Bombyx mori: one gene and its partner. The protein of the gene in region 2 purifies or fractionates together with the protein of the main gene of each other region. This does not show direct contact. Links are inferred from orthologs where the notes say so. Each region holds a gene or a part of one and is shown on either strand. Other genes may lie near its edges.

What was found.
Region 1: the proteins of toll-interacting protein (region 2) and cleavage stimulation factor subunit 1 purify together in Homo sapiens (co-immunoprecipitation; 3 studies listed by BioGRID and IntAct, with this or other methods). This does not show direct contact. The link is inferred for Bombyx mori from reciprocal best matches to the Homo sapiens genes TOLLIP and CSTF1.

The regions. Positions count from the first base shown.
Region 1 is NC_085130.1:10,338,845-10,344,349, forward strand, and holds part of cleavage stimulation factor subunit 1, read left to right. Parts: intron 1-1,143; coding exon 1,144-1,230; intron 1,231-2,057; coding exon 2,058-2,161; intron 2,162-2,548; coding exon 2,549-2,703; intron 2,704-4,458; coding exon 4,459-4,550; intron 4,551-5,311; coding exon 5,312-5,450; intron 5,451-5,505. UniProt on the Homo sapiens protein: One of the multiple factors required for polyadenylation and 3'-end cleavage of mammalian pre-mRNAs. May be responsible for the interaction of CSTF with other factors to form a stable complex on the pre-mRNA.
Region 2 is NC_085120.1:7,055,638-7,061,242, reverse strand, and holds the start of toll-interacting protein, read left to right. Parts: upstream 1-2,118; 5' UTR 2,119-2,302; coding exon 2,303-2,350; intron 2,351-2,796; coding exon 2,797-2,910; intron 2,911-3,708; coding exon 3,709-3,784; intron 3,785-4,525; coding exon 4,526-4,637; intron 4,638-5,605. UniProt on the Homo sapiens protein: Component of the signaling pathway of IL-1 and Toll-like receptors. Inhibits cell activation by microbial products. Recruits IRAK1 to the IL-1 receptor complex. Inhibits IRAK1 phosphorylation and kinase activity.

The sequences.
Region 1 (5,505 bases), on a different chromosome or scaffold from region 2:
AGCATCTAATGTTGACATATTGTGTTGTACTTATTAATCTTGATTACAATTTTAACATTGTCGATAACAATGTATATAGTGAAAACAAATAAGCTAGTATGTGTGCTCCATCAACAACAGTATGAAGAAATCTTTGGCCCCTGACCAATGTCACCTCAGTGATGCACACAAGTTTCCTCAAATTCAAGCCATACTAATTATAAGTAAAAAAATTGTGTATGACATAAATAAATTTGGACTAAGAACAAGCTGTCTTTCTTTAAGATTCTTCTCGGTGATTAAACCACATTCTAAATCGGTCATAACGTCACAGTAATATAAAAGCTCATATTAAATAAACAAAAAAAAGAAATATTTTTAAAGTTGCATCATGTAATTATCACATGTGGAAATTTCCTTGGGACCGCTTATCAGCTTTCTAAAATTACTACACTGGTTAGCTTTAAGCTTGACTTGCTTAATTTGAAATATGCTACATTTTAAAAAGACTAGACACATATAAGTAATACATTATTATATTTAATGATATAAATATACACTTGTATGTAAATACAAGTATTAACAATTTTTGTTGCATTCCTAGGTTGTATCTACCAGCCCTAATTTTGTTCCCATAATAGCATATAACTGGGTGAAGTACCTTCAGAATTACATTTGTACATGATGGCGGGTGGCCATCATACGACACAAGATATTTGACAGACGCCTGAATTGCGCTAATGACATTTTCAAGATAATCTTACATATATACAAGTTGCGAACAACAATATTCACCTCAAGGACCGGTCATCGTTCTCGCCGAACCCGTCGCTTGCGACGAAGGGCTCGACGAGTAAATTAACCCAGAGACACAGCCCACTGAGTTGCTCGCCGGATCTTCTCAGTGGGTCGCGTTCCCTATCCGGTGGTAGTTTATGCGAAGCTCGGCTCTTGCTAAGGTTCGTGTTAGCAACGTCGTCAGCCCCGTGAGCTTACCTACTAGTTAAGGTTACGCTGAAATAGCCTTTCATGGCTCTCAGCTTAGGTAGGAGAAAAAAAACAACATTCAGACCATCAGCTTACCCAGAAGTCATATTGTCCTTTGTGTTTATCCCAGTGCCGATAACCAGTTCTACTTATGAAAGCTTGTATGTTCTTTTACAGCCAATTGTACTATGACGGCTACCAGCCCATAGCTGCGACGTTGGCAGCAGCCGTACACGCTGACCCTCCGTGTCCTCCCAGCGACAGGTATCGATAAAATAATCAGTCTACAGTTACTAACAGTCTAAAATAGACAGGACCTAGCTGCCTCATATACAACATCTTCTTCTTTATTGTTCTCTCACTGCTAAGGAATTTTTCTTTATTGCTTAGATGGGTGGACGAGCTCACAGCACACCTGGTGTTAAGCGGTTACTGGAGCCCATAGACATCTACAGCGTAAATGCGCCACCTACCTTGAGATATAAGTTCTAAGGTCTCAAGTATAGTTATAACGGCTGCCCCACCCTTCAAACCGAAACGCATTACTGCTTCACGGCAGAAATAAGCAGGGCGGTGGTACCTACCCGCGCGGACTCACAAGAGGTCCTATCATCAGCGACCACATGTTTTCTTTTCTCTTCTCCATATTGTTCGGTCATGGGTGGCATGGACCGCGCGGTATTAGACTACCACCAACCTCTCTCTTAACCAGATCTGACCATCGGTCTGGTGTTATGCCCACGGCGCGCTTGCCTTCTATGCGGGCTAAAATTAAGATATTCTCTAATTCATGTCTGGGAGACTTCATGATGTGTCCCAAGAAGCTCATAACACATTCTTGGCAGATGGCAGAGAGCCTTACATAGTTACAGTAGGCGCGCGAGTTCATGTCCATCCTGAGGAATGCGGTAGTGCTGTGACCTAGTTAATTATGGTGATGTCGATAATAACTACCGATTTAGTCAACAGCTGTTAATTTGGTTTAATCTAACTAGGTCATTTTGTAAATCTATACATAATTGGAGTGTCTCCAATTTTATTTATTTATATAGAAGATTTGGGGCTGATGAATCAAGCGTGTTTTATTGCAGGTTGCTCAATGTCATGATGGTGGGCCTACAGCATGAGCCAGACAGGAAAGATAGGCTGGCTGCATCGAATGCTGCCGAGCATCTTTTGGGCACAACCGGTTTTGGTGAGTTTTTTTTTACTATTGCTGTCGAAGGCCTCCTAAATTAGTGCTTTCTCCTTTAGGTGCTTCATTAGGTGCTTCATTGCTACTGCAGCAGTTAGTCATTACACACACATTATGGTGGTAGGACCTCTTGTGAGTCCGCACGGGTAGGTACCACCGCCCTGCCTATTTCTGCCGTGAAGCAGTAATGCGTTTCGGCTTGAAGGGTGGGGCAGCCGTTGTGACTATACTTGATACCTTAAAACTTATCTCAAGGTGGGTGGCACATTGAAGTTATAGATGTCTATGGGCCCCGGTAACCAATTAACATCAGGTGGGCCGTGAGCTCGTCCACCCATCTAACCAATAAAAAAAAAATCCTGATTATGGCTTTTCGAACTTCCAAAGACTTGGAGTACGAAATGGACGCTTCCTCCCTGGCCCCTGAGCCGGCCACGTATGAGACGGCATACGTGACTTCGCACAAGATGTCTTGCCGGGCTGGAGCCTTCAGCCACTGCGGACAGCTGGTGGCCACTGGCAGTGTCGATGCCAGTATCAAGGTGAGACTCTGAAAGGCGCTTAACGACTTACAGACAAACTTGGATCTTGGTTCATGATATATACAGTCAAACCTGGATAAGAGAGAGTTCAAGGGAGCACAATCTCATTCTCGTTTAAAGAGGTTTCTCACTAACCCGAGTTTCTCGCTAATGCTCCCTCTGAATTTTATTTCGCGGTTTACGGATTCAAACGCATTCACTACTTTAATTTTCCGTTTTGACATGATGCAGAACAGAACTTTTCTTTGCAATTGATTAACGATAAACTGAGTAAGTCCGACAAACAGGACGGTACACAGGCACACGTGTCCATTCGAAAAGAAAGCGATAAAATAACAACGTTATTTAGTTCCACGAAATAGAATAGGTTCAATATTGACGAGAAAACAATTCAAAAAATATGGTAGAAAGTTCCACAAAAGTTAACAATGAGTCATAAAATAACAGATGTTAAACTTGTAATTTGTTTTTTCATTTGTTCCTCCTAAATCCATCCTCCTCGACTCTCGCCTATAGAGGTATAGATAAGTAGCAGTCTCACTTACGGAGGTCCATGAGGGAAAAACGACTCTCTCTTACAGAGGTTTCTGTTTCTCTCTAATAGAGGTTTTGGGAGCTTAAAATGACGGGTCCTGGCTATTACTCTCACTTATAGAGTTTTCTCACTTATCCAGTTCTCACTTATCCAGGTTTGACTGTATATATAATAAATACCATATCATTTGCAAGTATTTAAAGTAAGAAAAAATTAACGCTGTCCTAATCGATTATAATAAATAAATATCTGAAATGGTAGTGCAAGGTAGAGGGGGTCGACCGAAGAAGACATGGATGGAGTGTGTGAATGACGATATGAGAGAGAGAGAGGAGTGAGTGTTGAGTTGACGGCTTATAGAAGAGAATGGAAGAGAAAAAATTGCTGTGCCGACTCCACCTAGTGGGATAAGGTGGAGACAAAGAAGAAAAAGAAGAAATAAAAAAAAAATTGCCAATATAATTTAATCAAAAGACTAAGTATAAGTACAGTACAGTATTTGCCTTTTTGACTAATTTTTCAATCATAATTGTGTTTTGATGTGCAAAAAAAAGAATGCCGTCTCTCTTTCTCCTTCTCTCTCACTCTCTGTCTCTCTCTTAATTTTTTTTTACAATCTTATTCTAAATCCACAATTTGTATATAACTATGCGCTAGCGACTTACTTGCGTGGACCTATGTGTGCTCACGGTTTTTTTTTATAATATCTTGCAACATAATCCCAACGCAATTTAGAAAATCAGTGGCGCCATCTATGGAGCGTCACGGTAAACCTTAAAAACCTCTTTTATTTATTTTATTGCCCTTTTGGGCAGAAGAACATACGGCCCACCTGATGGCGAGTGGTTACCGTCGCCCATGGACTTCAGTGATGCCAGGGGCAGAGCCTGGCCGCCGCCTACCGTTAAACTTTAATACTCCGTATTAAAGGAGGGTGAAGATCTGAAACCCTAACCTATAGATGCAGGCCACTGAGTTTCTCGCCGGATCTTCTCAGTGGGGCGCGTTTCCGATCCGGTGGTGGATTCTGCGAAGTACTACTCTGACTAGTGCTAGTGTTAGCATGCTCTTTCAGGTTGAGCCCGTGAGCTCACCTACCCGCGCGTAGCTGAAATAGTCCCTTAGGTTACCAACGAACAGGTATCGAAACAAAAATATCCGATACTCATAGACTTGGTTAAAGAGATGGATTCTGAATTCTATTGGCGTCATTTTACCAGATTTTAGATGTGGAGAGGATGCTCGCGAAATCAGCTCCCGAGGAGGTGGAGCAAGGGAGGGAGCAACAGGGGCATCCCGTCATCAGAACCCTGTGAGTAATGGGCTTTCAATTCAAGGCTTAATCGTCATCAGAACCCTGTGAGTAATGGGCTTTCAATTCAAGGCTCAATCGTCATCGGAACCCTGTGAGCAATGAATGGGCTTTCAATTCAAGGCTTAATCGGCATCAGAACCCTGTGAGTAATGGGTCGGGTTTCAAGGCTCAATCGTATCTTAGATACTATCGGCGCTTTCTTCAAGTACTCAAAAGTCAGGGGAGCTTACTGAGGAAAGCTGATGGCGATGTTACTAACTTAGACGATGAGGCAATTATAGCTGTACCTTAAAGCGGCCTTGCTAAGAGCCACTTAAAGTCTAACGTGCCGATTTCCATTTTTCCTATAAAACTAAAATTCTGAAGGCTCAACAGAAATATTGAGGAGTCAGTCTCAAAGCTGCGTCCCCGAAACCACGATTGGCGCGCGATATTGTTAGATTAAGGTCGCCATAAGAACAATCATGACTAGGAGATTCAACCCGCAATATTATAATTTGCGTAATTACTGGTGGTAGGACCTCTTGTAAGTCCGCGCGGGTAAGTACCACCACCCCGCCTATTCCTGCCGTGAATCAGTAATGCGTTTCGGTTTGAAGGGCGGGGCAGCCGTTGTAACTACACTGAGACCTTAGAGATTATATCTCAAGGTGGGTGGCGCATTTACGTTATAGATCTCTAGAGGCTCCAGTAACCACTTAACACCAGGTGGGCTGTGAGCTTGTCCACCCATCTAAGCAATATATATTTTTACGCAGATACGACCACACTGATGAAATTACAGCGCTCGATTTTCATCCCCGAGAACAGATCTTAGTGTCGGCATCAAGGGATAACTGCATCAAGCTCTTCGACATCACCAAAGCATCAGCGAAGAAGGCCTTTAAATCAATTACGGTATGCATCGAGAGTTCTACACTACACTACTACAGACGCAGTCTTCTGCAGCTCT
Region 2 (5,605 bases):
GTAATAAGTAAAAACATGCCTAAAAGAACTCAGTCCCTGAAGTACCAACCATTATACACTATATTTTCAGATTGTATTATATTTTTAATATGAGTCCAATTTTTATTTGTTTTCATCAGTTGTGCTGGCATGAAGTAAAATTCATTGGCTTAGATGGAAGAAGTACTCACACCTTGCTTAGTGTTGTAACTAGACCACAATAACTCACAAAAAAAAATAACAAAATTAACAATATTAAAATCTTTTTGAAGATTAAAGATTTCCAAATATTTAAATTACATGCAAAACATAGATATCCTATATAAAAATTTGTTTTGTCAATTTGATTGATTTGACTTGCCAGTAAGCAATGTTTTGATATTGTTAGATGTGTACCTAGTCACTAGTTTTAAGGAGTCTGTTTATTTGGAAGTGTAAACTAATTAAAACATAAGTTTAAAATATGCTAATAATATGTTCTAGTAAGTTATACACATAATTTTAATTTTCATTATTTTTTCTACTTTATAACTTGTTTCATTTTAACAGTTGTGACAAAGATAATCAAATAATATAAATGATATGGTTGGCGAATGCAAATAGTCCTTACGCTGAAAAAACACAGAAAGTATTTATTTAAATACCTTGTAATTTACTAACCTTTGGGGTGATGTTGATATCCATTGCAGCTGTTGACTAAAATCGATACCTAATCAACCTTTATCAGTTCACTTTGTGACGTAAACACAAGGCACTCTAATTACAAAAAATCTTAACTGTTAATTTTACACTCAACTAATTTAATAATCAAACGATGCATTTTGTTAGAAAATATAAACCAGACTCGTTAGTCCACTCCATAAATTGGCACAAATAGTGACAGATTTCCGTTTACTTCAAAGAGCAAATTAATGTTTAGTGGTGGTTTAGTGTTTACTTGTCATAGACCTTAATACTCGTCCGTTGTTTACTGCCATTCAGTTTCAAAGAGTAGGGTTAATAGGAAGGAAGCTAGTTCGGGGCTCCATAGATTGTAGTTATAGGACTTATGAGCGACGTAGATTTGTAATTTGTACTTGTATTTGTTTGGACTTGGCGGGAAAGGCGTAACGTTGTTGAAATTGTTTTATTTGTTGAGTTTGCGTTTGTTCGGCGTAATCGTACAATAATTATGATATAGGAGCCGTTTTCCATCTCTGAAAGTACACGAATGTGCGAAAAAGAAGCAGAACGCTTGATTTGGCTTGTCAGACACTTATCTAAATATGTAGTATTTAAATTATTGTCTCAATCAGTTTTTATAGATTTTTTTTTTATTTATTTCTTCTTTCCAATTTTTTTCTCTGTCATTTTTCTTTCTTCCTTTTATTCTTAGACTTCCTCCAAATTGCTTGAAATTTTTCTATCTAGATGTGGTAGTGGTCTTTTTAGTCACCTCTCTTCCAAAAAATCCATTGAAACTCTCAGTATATTCACACCTTTTTACTGAGACTAATAGTCTTATAACTAATATAACTTATAACTAATAAAGCTTTATTTGATTTGCATTTAGTTTTGTTCAACTTTTCATAGAACAGAAGGCCTTCATTTACAAAAGTTACGGCATGAAACCTATTATTTTTGCTCACTGCTTTTGTTGCCCTCATACATCTTATTTATTTTGTATGATATCCATGCTCACGCAGAAAGAACAGGTTACTGTAGCGTCGCACTTCGGAAATGTGAATATTATAGATTTTACTAAGTTAACCCTACAGTTTCAATCTATCTTATCTTAACTAAACTACCTTTAAATCATTATTACTATGAAATGTTTCGTGAACGCTTAAGTGAACTATTTAGAAAAATACATTTTATGTACACTTGTGCACTTTTGCTGATATTAAACTACTACCGCTGGACGTAACTTCTCACCGTCCTCCAAAAAGTACACTGAAAAAGTGTCAGTAAATGACAACCATTTTCATACCCCAACTCATATCTTCTTATCTCATTTCATTTCATTTTAATACCACGTTTCACATTAATCAACTTCATTTCATTTCACTTCATATTAACTTAATTCATTTAAAAATAATATTTATAAATATAAAAGATTAGGTAGGTTGTACACCTTTGCTTTTCCAATTGGAAAAGTTTGTGACAGTGACAGCTGCTTGCCAACTTTCACTGACACTGACATATTGTTTTCATTTTGTTGGATATTGACTATTATTCTGTTTTTCGCATTAATTACGCTGATCATTAAATTAGTAACAATATATTATTCAAATACTTAATACTGAATAAGGCGTTAATATATCAACTTTACGCACCAATCACCATGACTTCAACAATGCCTAATGATACAAATGAAGAACGTCGTCGTAGAGTAAGTACCCAACTACATAATATGAATAAATATACAATGATGATCTCTATAAGATTATTTAAAGAATTTTATAGTCTGTTGGACGTTAATAAACAAGTTTTGTAACCGGTTCTAATATTTAATGTTTTCAATGATTTCATTTAAACTGAATATGATCTAATTTCCATCGAAATTTCTCGAGCTAGCAAGTATTTTTTCCGACAACAAAGAAAGTATAACGACCATCTAAAAGTACAGTTTGACTAGATATTGCAAATTAGTTAAAATTATGGTAATTAAAAAAATATGCTAAAGATATGTTTAATAAAAACTGATAAAAAGAAAGAAAAGCAGCTATGGCTTAAATGGATTACTTAACTTGACATATAAAAATTAACAATATTTGTAATCTACTTCAGCCAGTACTTTAATATTGTTTTCAAAACCATGAATTTCAATCACTATAGGTACTGCTAGGTCCTCTTCCAGCAGGTTTTCTTCGTGCTGATGCTACTTCTGACGGTGTGGACTCTGATTATGAAGCTGCACTTGCTTTACAACAACAGCTATATGGTGCTGCAGTATGTAGATTCTTTATTTTTAATTTAGAATGAACTACATAGTTTTTTGATAGAAACATAACTTAATTTATATATTTATAGTTTTAAGATGTCACAATGGCCTATGGGAGAGGTTTTTTTAAGTCATAACTCAGGAGTATTGAGTTCATACCCTTTTATAAAACATGTTTTTGAAATTATAGAATCTATAATTGATGATATTTGTAAAAAAAGTTACTAATTTATGAAATAAATACTTAATCTGATTTTTACTAATATTGAAAAGTTTCAAAACAATATATAGTATGATCACAACTGTACCTATACTATAGAAAACAGATGCTGTTGGTTATAGTTTCAGTTGACTTTTTAGCGTGCTTTATTTCCTATTTAAGCTGAAAGCCTTGTGAAGCTATGTCAGCTTTGAGTGCTATTCAACCACTTTAGCTCTTTTGGTCTCAAGGTAGTGGCAATCATGTTCAGATTGATCATCTGTCTACTTGGAGCTGTAAATATAATGGTGATAAACTGTACTCATTTGATTTAATTATTTAATTTCATTGCAGAATTTTATTAGTGTTTAGGTGAATTTAGTGTTATTGGTGAGTTAGTGAGGACAGGCAATACAATAGAATTGAAAAAAGATAAGTCTTCAAACCTTTTCCTCAAGATGGTGGATGACTATATAAATTTTGTCATGTACGTAGGCTTCTGTAACTTATCTATCACATCAGGCTATGAGCCCTTTGTTCAACTATGTAGTAATAAAATTTTCCTTCAATATGTAAAGCTAATTATAATGGATGAAATGTTTCTCAGGTACCACAAAGTGGCCCTCCAATGACAGCGAGACTAAGTGTCACTATAGCTCAAGCTAAGCTTGTTAAAAATTATGGTAAGTATTTTTTGAAGTGATAAAAATTTATAGGTCCAAATTTGGCCAATGTTTATTACATTTACCACAATAGCATATGCACATATGTATGCATGATTTATTTAAATCTTACACCAATAATCAAGATCAGAAAGCACATATTCTACATGCGTTTTTTTTAAATTGAATATGGTTCTGCTAATCTTCTTATCAAAATAGGATATCTCAATGAATTTTTTTCTTTTGTTTGTGATATCTAAGATAAGCTGTGACTACTTTTGACTCATATTAGAGATGTGTAAAGTGCTTTGTTGCTTGCATAAAGTTTGATTATAATCAAATTGAATTAGACTTAAAAATTCACAAAATAAACTAATCAACCTTTTTTTCTTTTAAAAGACGCAGAGTCGATAAGTTAAGTGTACTACATCCATATTTATAAATCAACATGGATTCTCTAAACTATCTCAGTATTTGCTTAAGAAACAAGCAACATTTTTATTTTAACCTTGTATTCCGTTTGAGAAGTCATTCATGCCCTAATTTTTTATCTCTTACCTAATTCCTCCGTTTTACTGATTTGATTTTCTTTCTACTGCAAAACAATCTTGCATTCCGTCTTAAAAGCGACTTTAACTGTTATTCTAAAGTAACTGTTTGCCTTGTAAAAAGACCATTTGGAGTGCAGAATACAGTAAACTATTAGTACCAAAAGTGATCATATATCAATATTGAATGATCCTCCTTGAAATATGAACATAGGACTAACTCGTATGGACCCGTATGTTCGTGTGCGTGTTGGACATTGTATATACGAGACTCACACTGATCCGAGCGGCGGGAAGACTCCGAGATGGAACAAGGTCATTCACTGGTATGATATTTTTTTTTTTTTTTTTAATTGCTTTCGTTTGCAGTCTAACAAAAGGATTTAAATTCAACCAAGGCCAAGATTCTTGGCAATAAAAAAAAAAACTATGAGAGGTGACAATATTAGGTGATAGCTGACTAGATAGCATAGAGATTCGCAGGTTTTATGTATGGCACTCAGTGTACCTAAAGGGCGTCACGCACGGCGAAGATACTGTAATATAATCAACATTTTGTATGAACACATGGTTAAGATAATATACATTTGATAGTTCATACGAAATGTATGGCGAGCGATATTGCATGTTAAGATAAAATATTATAGTATCTTCGCCGTGTGTGACGCCCTTAACACAATAACAAATTAAATGACGCGTGGGGTCAATGTTCTCGTGTGACACATATTACGCTGCGCTGTATATTTCTTGAAACTACAGGTACATACATTATTATATTTCTTTTAACATGTTGGGGACCAAGTATTAATTTTTCACATCACAACTCGTTAAGTTACTAAAAATTATAACTTACATCATTATGTGCTTGTTTGCAATATTGGAAGAATGGGCTTTATGAATTTTAAAGCTAGTACTTTGATGGCAAAGCCAAAGAGGCAAGTTACCATGGATATTTGCTAGTTAAACTGACATCAGTACACTTTTTATACTATGCGTCCTATACCGACAGTGAACTAGTAAACTGGTGGTGGATTACTGGTGGTAGGACCTCTTGTGAGTCCGCACGGGTAGGTACCACCGCCCCGCCCATTTCTGCTGTGAAGCAGTAATGCGTTTCGGTTTGAAGGGTGGGGCAGCCGGTGTGACTATACTGAGACCTTAGAACTATATCTCAAGGTGTGTTGCGCATTTACGTTGTAGATGTCTATGGGCTCCAGTAACCACTTAACATCAGGTGGGCTGTGAGCTCGTCCACACATCTAAGCAATAAAAAAAAAAATCTGCCGCGAAGAAG